Linked DNA regions of Solanum lycopersicum. The protein of the gene in region 1 interacts with the protein of each later gene in a pairwise test. Links are inferred from orthologs where the notes say so. Each region holds a gene or a part of one and is shown on either strand. Other genes may lie near its edges. The genes, in order: protein PEP-RELATED DEVELOPMENT ARRESTED 1, chloroplastic; phantastica.

Region 1 (4,262 bases):
TTGTATAAAACGAGAAAGGAGAAAGGCAAAAGAGACTTGGACAGAGAATATACTATTGAGTCGAATTTTATAAAACGAGAAAGAGAGAAATTATATACAATTTGAATTTGTATAAAACGAGAAAGAGAGAAAGACAAAAGAGACTTAGGCAGGAAAGTATTTTTATTTTATAATTGTAAGTGAATAAGACGGAGATATATGTATTTGCATGTGTATATACAATTTTCTCTCGCTTTGTACAATTAGATACACAATTTATACAATTCTATTGTATAAAGCGAGAGAGGCGAGCAAAGGAAGCGAGCGAGAGAGGGAGAGTAGCGAGCGATAATATGAGGGAGAGAGTGACTGACAAAAAGTTTTTTATGAAACACAAATAAATCAAAACGGTAACTACTATATTTATTTTATATTATTAATTTGTCGTTCTATACCATTATCCCCATTAAATATGGATGATTCAAAAAGGTAAAAAATATATTGTAAACAAAAAGGGAATATTATAATAATACATATGCCATCTCACCAGGAAAGATGTATCAAATATTTTTATAAGGAAACAAAAATATTTAGGTGAATTTTTAATTCAAAAAAAAAAAATATGATGGGGATTTACTCAATTAGAATGGAGAAGGTGAAAATGACATGGACGGTCATGGTTTTTAACCATATGATGGTGGATTGACGTATTTTTCATTTCCTTTTTTCTGTTTTATAGATTACATATTGACGATTTTGGTTTGTAGTGTATAGATGACTTTGGAATTAATCATTTTAATATTTTATGAGTCGAGCGTATCACATAGTGCTTATATAGTACTATTTATATATTTTAAGTGATTTACATATCATTACACGATTCACACCAAAAGGACAAAGACGATGTCAAAAGTTATAAGCTTGTAGTTGTGACACGTTATTCAAATATAACAAAACAAGTGATAATAATAATGGAAAATGCTCAAAAGTTCCTCTAAATTATTCGAAATAACTTATATTTATTCTTAAACTATATTTCGGCCCAAAATTATGCTTCTTGTAATATTATTGGGTCAAAATTATCCTTCTTATTAATGAAACTTGTTAAAGGTGAATGCCACATGACATACCATATAAGCTCCCCAATTTCATTCATTTCCACGTAGACTAATAATAAGATTTTAATCCTAATTCTTCTTCTCATTTTTCTATTTCCATTTGAAACCATTTTAATCACCCCTTTCCCCTAATTTCTCGTATTCATTTCGAAAACTTCATATATTTTTATTTTCGCAACTCCATTGTGAAGCTTCACAAGTTTGGCCTATAAGAAGCTTGAAGAGTACCAAACTACTAAGAGAAACTGATGTATGAATTGAAGTTTGGGCCAAGCTTGCAGGCTAGAAACAACCATACTTAGTGCTATGAATTGAAGTTTGGGCCAAGCTTGCAGGCTAGAAACAAACATACTTAGTGCTATCTTCTTAAAAAGGTAATTTTAATTTAAATATGAATTATTTTAAATAGTTTACGAATATTTTGACCTTTTCCATAATAATAACAATGATCTTACCCCTCTCCCGCAATATCTCCATTTCCACCCCCCAAAAGAAAAGATTGTAATTCCGTCGTTGGTCATTTCATCCATGGCATTTCTGTCCATCCCTATCGTTTTCTGTGGAGCTACTCCTGCAAGTCTATCTCGTTACTCGACTCCATCACTATACTATTTTCTTCAACCGGAAATCCCCAATCAGTATTCATTGCAGCTGAAGACATCCTGCAGACTGAACCTTTCGGCATTATGTACGAGTAACGAGGTCGGCGCAGGTTCTTTGGCGGAGGAATTCGGAGCTCAAAATGGAAGAATGGAAAATCATGGACATGAAGTCGGAGATTTTGATACTTCTCAGTATCAAGTTCTTCTTAAAGGTGGTGAACAAGTTACCTCCGTCCTTGAAGAAATGGCCAAGCTAGTATGTTTTCCCTTAATTGTATTATATTTCATTTGTCTTTGTGATGATATACTTTTAAAACTACAATTCTTCTGTGTGTTTGATTACTAGAAAAATTAAACCCTAAACCCTTTAGGTGTTCATTGAATTTGTTCCTGTTTAATTGTTAATCAAGTTAAATATCAGAGGTACTAGGATTTCACAGTCCATGTGAATGTGCTTCTCTTAGGAATTTTATGAAGTCTCTGTATTGTTATCTGAAGGGTGTGGTCTTAATTCTTGATAGCTAGTAACCCTAGAAATGAAGCTTATCCTGTATACTAATTTGTGATGTTGAAATGGATAATGGTATGGATACAAATATGTAAGTAATAAAAAGATAGAATTTTCCCCCTTTTTTTTTCCGTTCAAGTCGCTTATGTGGTTACTTCAGTATGTCAGCTGGAGTAGTTATTCATCTCGTCAATATACTTTGTTGGATACATATTTTATGAAACAGTTGGAAGATATGAAGATGGATGAAGCATCTGAGGAGGTAGCAGTGCAATTGGCTGCACAAGGAGTGATTGGGAAAAGAGTTGATGAAATGGAGTCCGGGTTCATGATGGCCCTTGATTACATGATCCAAACTGCTGACAACGACCAGGATGATAAGGTAGTATTATTAAGGTTCCTGATCTTTTTTTTTTCTTTTTTTTTCCTTGTTATTTTCCCTTAACCAGTTCTTTTGTTCGTGGAATCATATTTCGATTTCATAGTATGCGTGGTTTATACTTCATAGTCCCACCTATCATTATTTTGCCATGAGCAATTGATTTATTAGTTTTCACTGTCGACACATCTGGTACATTTTCTGTGGTAAGATAATTTGTGTGCTGCCATTGGAGATGGATTAGTAACAAATAGTTGTTGTTGATGATATTCATGTAATTTTTGCCTAGTACAAGATGTAATGAAGTAATAGGTGTCTCATTTAGAAGCTTATTGATGCTGATTTCTCTAGTAAATAGTCAGGTTCTCTCATTTTAGCCTTTTCATCGTATGGGTAATTTATTTCTTGATAGAAAAAGTTGCCAAGAGCATCGGGTTGAAGAAGCGATAATTAAAGAATTAAAGGCATTAAAGGGAACCTTCTCTATAATCAATTTTCCTTGATTGTTGGCTAGACTGAATGTTATTTGATTAGATATCAAGCTGGATATCTGATCCATATTATAGTCTTTTTATATATATTATATATATATTTCCATTTTGTGCCCAGTTCATGTCCATTTGATTCCTGTAGAGTACTGCATTGATACAAGAGGTTTTCTGGGTGGGTATGTGATTAACAAAGTTGTTTCTTTTAGCGCAAATCACTCTTGGAAGTTATCAAGGAGACTGTATTATCCCATCTTACCAAGAAGTGCCCCCCTCATGTGAGTATGCTAGTATGCTGAATGACTACATTATTAGCAGCATTGATGCTCTAGTCTTTGATCTGACATTGAATTGGATTTGTATGTTTTCTAGGTTCAAGTCATAGGCCTGCTCTGTAGAACTCCTCAAAAAGAAAGCAGACATGAATTGCTCAGGCGAGTTGCTGCTGGTGGTGGAGTATTTCAAAGTGAGAATGGGACAAAAGTCCATCTTCCTGGGGCAAATTTGAATGATATAGCTAACCAAGCGGATGATATTCTGGAGGTAGGCTCTTAATGTATATGCATAGTCAGGAGACTAACCAGTTTTTGGTATTTAAGTCTAAAATAATTTGTTTTGCATCAATTTCATTTGGCTGCGGGTCCCTTAGGGTGCAGGTTATTAGAAACCACAAACTTTACATGGTATGGAACATCTGGTTTGTAGAGACCATAAGGCACCACACTGTGCATTATGTAACACATTTTGGAAAATGGTTAGATCAATATTTTCATCTATTGATGTTAAAACTTCTGTTCAGCCATCTTGGTCAGACAATTTGTAGTGTTGATGCTGGTTATATGTAAGCTGTAAGAAACTTGTGCTCAATGCTGAATTCATTATTTATTTTTGTTCTCAAGTTACTGAAATATTAATTTTTTATAAAAATGAAGAAAAAAAGGCAAGTCATGGTAATGTCAAGTTTTAACAGATGCCATCTTACTTGGTTATCAGGGCCAAAAATGATACTCCCTCGTTTTCAATTTGTTTCTGTGGTTTTGACCTGACAGAGTTAAAGAAAGTAAGAAGACTTTTTCGGATCTTGTGGCCTTGAACTAAAATATGTAGAATGTACCAAAATGCTATTTAATCTTATGGTCTTAAATATGTCATGTGGAAATTTAGGAAAAGAGTTACCAAAATAGAAAA
Region 2 (4,401 bases), about 39 Mb from region 1:
TTTTCCACCTTTCTAAACAAGACTTCGCGTCCCTGTTAAGGGGCGTGTTCATACGCTGTGATACAAGGTGCCATTCTTTTGGTCCATACTGTCTCACGTATGCTCGCAACAAAGCATCCTCTTCAGCTCGCCACCGTTGCCTCTCCCTCATTTCCAGGTGTAAACACCAGTTTCCATCCTCCCAAACTCCTCATAATTTTCCTGAAAGAATGTTTCGCACCATTTTACTTGCAATACTTGAGTATAGAATCTGAACCATAACTTAAGCAAGCTATTGATCACAAACAAAGTACATGCAAGTGCATCACATTTAATGTAGTTACTAAAATCTTAACTTGTATGGGAAGTCATTACAACGCCCCTAAATAAAATACCGTCACAGTAACAAAGGATCATGATCGTTCAGTAGGACTTCAACAAAGGAAACTCATGCAATGTTCCAGTACTCGAGACATATCCAAGAGAAGAATACAACTGATTGCTCATATACAAAACTTAATAGAAAATAGATAATGAGAACAAATGATGTACATATTTTAAACACAGTCAACATGCTAGTTCCAAATAAAACACGGCCTCAAAAATTGGGACAGAGGGAGTAACTCTGTTCTAACCGCGTTATTTAGGGGTATCAGGTCATAATTTTCAAGAAAGTGCTGCTATGTCAATCTGGTATCACTACTCAGGACCAGATCAATATTAAAAATAATGTAAAATTGAGTTGGCATTTCTAGAAGACATCATTAATCAGATAGAAATAAGAAAAGAATCGAAGAATATATTCACATTTACTTTTGTTCAGACCCTTCGTCATTGAACTATTAACATGAACAGAGACCAGACTAGCCACATTCGAAGGTCACATCTAAGATATATGCAGAAAAGACTGTAAAGAAAAAACGAAAGCAGACGTGTGTGCACACAAGTAGATTGATTGAAACATGCTTTACATAAATCATTTGATGCAATATATTAACAATGTACCGGCATAATTGTATGATTACACGGATCATTAATAATCAGACATCACAATACTCAATCGGCTTCACTATCTAGATCGATATCCTTCTTGACCAGCATTGAGGTACAAGATCATTGCAAGTGCATAACAAACACAAAAAAGAACTCAGCAGAATATGATGATGCAAATTAAGTAACACCCTTCTTCCTAGATTACTTAACACATGTTCATTTAGCTCAATTGCAATAACCCTTTAAGAGTACTAAAGTTTTCATGTCCAAAAATATCTATGAAACATCAAGCTCTGAGACTACTACAACATACTCAGTGTAGTCACACAAGTGGGATTTCGGGAGCATACGAAATACACAGACCATACCTACCTTTGTGGGGTAGAGACGTTGTCTCTAATGGACTCTCAGGCTCAAAAAATAAGTTTTTTGAGGAAACGAATACACTATCAAAATAGCTAGACAAAAAGCAAGAAACACCAGATAACCACAATGAGACTATCCACAGAAATTGAGTGACACATATCTTCAATATATCAAGATAGAGAATAAAACAAGCTTAACGTGAGAAAACACAATAAAGATGGGAGAACTTTTATGCAAAATGTAATTAGGTAGTTATACCAGAAAATGTATTGACAACAAATAGAAAGATTCAAGACTAGCAATATAAAAACAACTCTTAGTAAGATCTGAGTCAAAAACAAACATGGTAGAGATTTCAACATTTTCCTAGTTACAGTTGAAGCCAAATTCTGCAAAAAGGCACAGAGATGATGGAAATGCAAAGCATTACAGCCAAAAGATGGATTCCTTATCTTCTCCACATATAGCATAAAAACCATACATGTAAATGCAAGAACAAAAAGACACAATTCAGTTTAAGACAAGCATCTTAAGAAAAAAATTTCCACACACAATCCAACACTGAAAAACAAACACAAACATAACATAGTAGAAAGCATCCATCATATCAGTTTGATTACAGAACCATAAAGGGAACAAGACTTGAGAATCTTACAAGAAGCCTCAAAGGAAGCACAATTCTTGCTTCAACCTATTAGATCTTTCAGTATTTTTTTCATGAAAAGATGCAGAAACCAGATTGTGCAATATGGGACAGAAAAAATGGTAATGCAGAGGCCACTAGAGCAAAAAGATAGATTCTTTATCTCCACCAGACATACATGTGAATACTTGAAAGAACAAAAACACACAAATCAGTATTTAAAAAAATAAAGAAACAAGCTGCCAGCACTGAAAAACTCCACTTCCCAGAAAACACAATAAAGTCAAAAAAGAAAAATACCCATCAAATCAGTTTGATCACAGCATCAAAAAAGGAGACAACTTTTCATAGACTTACAAAAGAACTCACAAGATACCACTTAGGCATCCCAGTTCTTAGCTCAACCCATATAATCATTTTTAATCTATTTCAAGAAAATATGAGCAAAAAGATTAAAAAAAAAATGCAGTGACCAAAATGATAATGCAGAGACCACTAAAGCAAAAAGATAGATTCTTTATCTCCACCAAATACAAACCATTAATATAAATTCTTGTTAAGACAAGCAAACACAATTCAGTAAACCAAAAAAAAAAAAAAGCAAACAACTTTATAAGACTTACCCACAACAGAACACATCATTTTGATCACAGAATCAAAAAAAGGAGCAAACTTTAAGAGATTTACAAAAGAACTTACAAGAAACAACTTAGGCATCCCAGTTTCTAGCTCGACCCATATGATCTTTTTTATTATATTTCAAGAAAATGAGTAAAAGAAAGAGAAAAAATTGAAGGATACACTACGTTTAAGCAAAAGAGAAAATGAAGAAGAAGAAGAGAGATGAAACAGAAAATAAAGGGAAAATGCAGAGTAATAAGAGAGAAAAGAGGTAAGGTATGGCCCTCTCTGTTTGAAGAATGACGTGTATAGAGAATGTGATGACGAAGACGGCAATGGCGTCTTTAACCAGAAAGGTTATTTGTACACACGCACTATTATACAACTAGTGTTGTACATCTTCTTAGAGGGTAAAATTCAAAAAAAAAAAAAAGTTAGAAGTATCACCACCTCAATTCAAATTATCGCAAAGAGTTGCTCGTATAATAAATATTTATGTTTTTACTTTTAATATTGTGAATTTAAGTTATCAAGTGAATAAAAATATAAAAATTCTATCGAATAAATAAAAAGATGAAAACTTTCTGAGAAGGAATATAAGTTCTTTCATTGTAAAAATATTTTAGCTTTCGAATTTAAGTTCAAGATTATATATTCAAAGTAAAGTGAGAGGCGAAAGATTCAAATAGTAAAAAGTTCAAATCATATAGTTATATTGAATTGAAGTCTAAGATCATTATTTATTGCGATAAATATGACCATTAAATCACAACTATATGAAAAATTCACATTATTATTATTATTATAAAATTTGAACTCTAATATCTTATTAAAGTTGGTCTCATCTATCGATGTTGATGGTTATGATAAGTCTGTAGTTTGAATGTTGGTTGGTAATTAGAATGTGTGTATAATATTGTATAATTTTTTAAAATTAATATATTTTTGTTTGTATAAATTTATTAATTTGAATTTATACAAAAAAAAAATATTCAATGGTATAAACCTATCCGTTAATTATACTAACTCATCTGCAGATTATACAAGGCAATTTAAATTATAGTTAAATTTCGAAAATATGTGAACTATAGCTATAGCTATAAATGTATTTTTAGATGTTATGTTAAAAGTTTCAGTGTATAGAGTACAATGTTCAATTATAAATTAAAAAAGATGAAATATTAAACATAGCATAATAAATTTTCATCTAATCCTTATTTTATTAAATATTGTCACTACGATAAAAATAACTTTTAGCAGTATTAAATATTGACATTAATAAATAATGTTAAAGTTTTTACCGATATTAGTTAAGTGTCATTAGAATCAATATCGCTAAAAACTATAAAAATATATATAAAAAATGACAATTGCTAATAAAAATATATATTTAACAACAATTAAAAATTGATTACAATTAATAATCATTTTTATTGTACTAAAAATAATATATAGTACACATGAATTGTTTTGTGCTGAGTTTTATAAAATAAAAAAAAAGAAGTAATAAGCTATCAAATATGTATTACTAAAAATAATAGCACGTATTAATTTCATAATATATAAATATGCTATTTAACTTGGCTTCAAAACATAATTATGCCCTTCAATTTTGGATGTATACAAATATACACTTAAACTTGTATAAAGTTGAACAAATAGACACACATGTCCTGTATGTCATCCTACAGGTCATTTTTTATCCTACGTGTATTATGATATATAGAACTCGTGTGTTTATTTATTTAAAAATTAGATAGTTAAAATATCTATTTGTGTATTATAAAAATTAAAGGTTA

Evidence for each region.
Region 2: the proteins of protein PEP-RELATED DEVELOPMENT ARRESTED 1, chloroplastic (region 1) and phantastica interact in binary tests that used the Arabidopsis thaliana proteins (3 or more experiments, as listed by UniProt). The link is inferred for Solanum lycopersicum from reciprocal best matches to the Arabidopsis thaliana genes AT5G48470 and AS1.

The regions. Positions count from the first base shown.
Region 1 is NC_090808.1:43,952,833-43,957,094, forward strand, and holds the start of protein PEP-RELATED DEVELOPMENT ARRESTED 1, chloroplastic, read left to right. Parts: upstream 1-1,162; 5' UTR 1,163-1,625; coding exon 1,626-1,955; intron 1,956-2,433; coding exon 2,434-2,589; intron 2,590-3,283; coding exon 3,284-3,352; intron 3,353-3,446; coding exon 3,447-3,617; intron 3,618-4,262. UniProt on the Arabidopsis thaliana protein: Plays an essential role in early steps of chloroplast development. May be involved in the redox control of plastid gene expression by maintening the redox state around chloroplast nucleoids.
Region 2 is NC_090808.1:4,657,775-4,662,175, forward strand, and holds the start of phantastica, read right to left. Parts: upstream 2,831-4,401; 5' UTR 2,681-2,830; intron 2,172-2,680; exon of another isoform or gene 1,994-2,171; intron 202-1,993; 5' UTR 152-201; coding exon 1-151.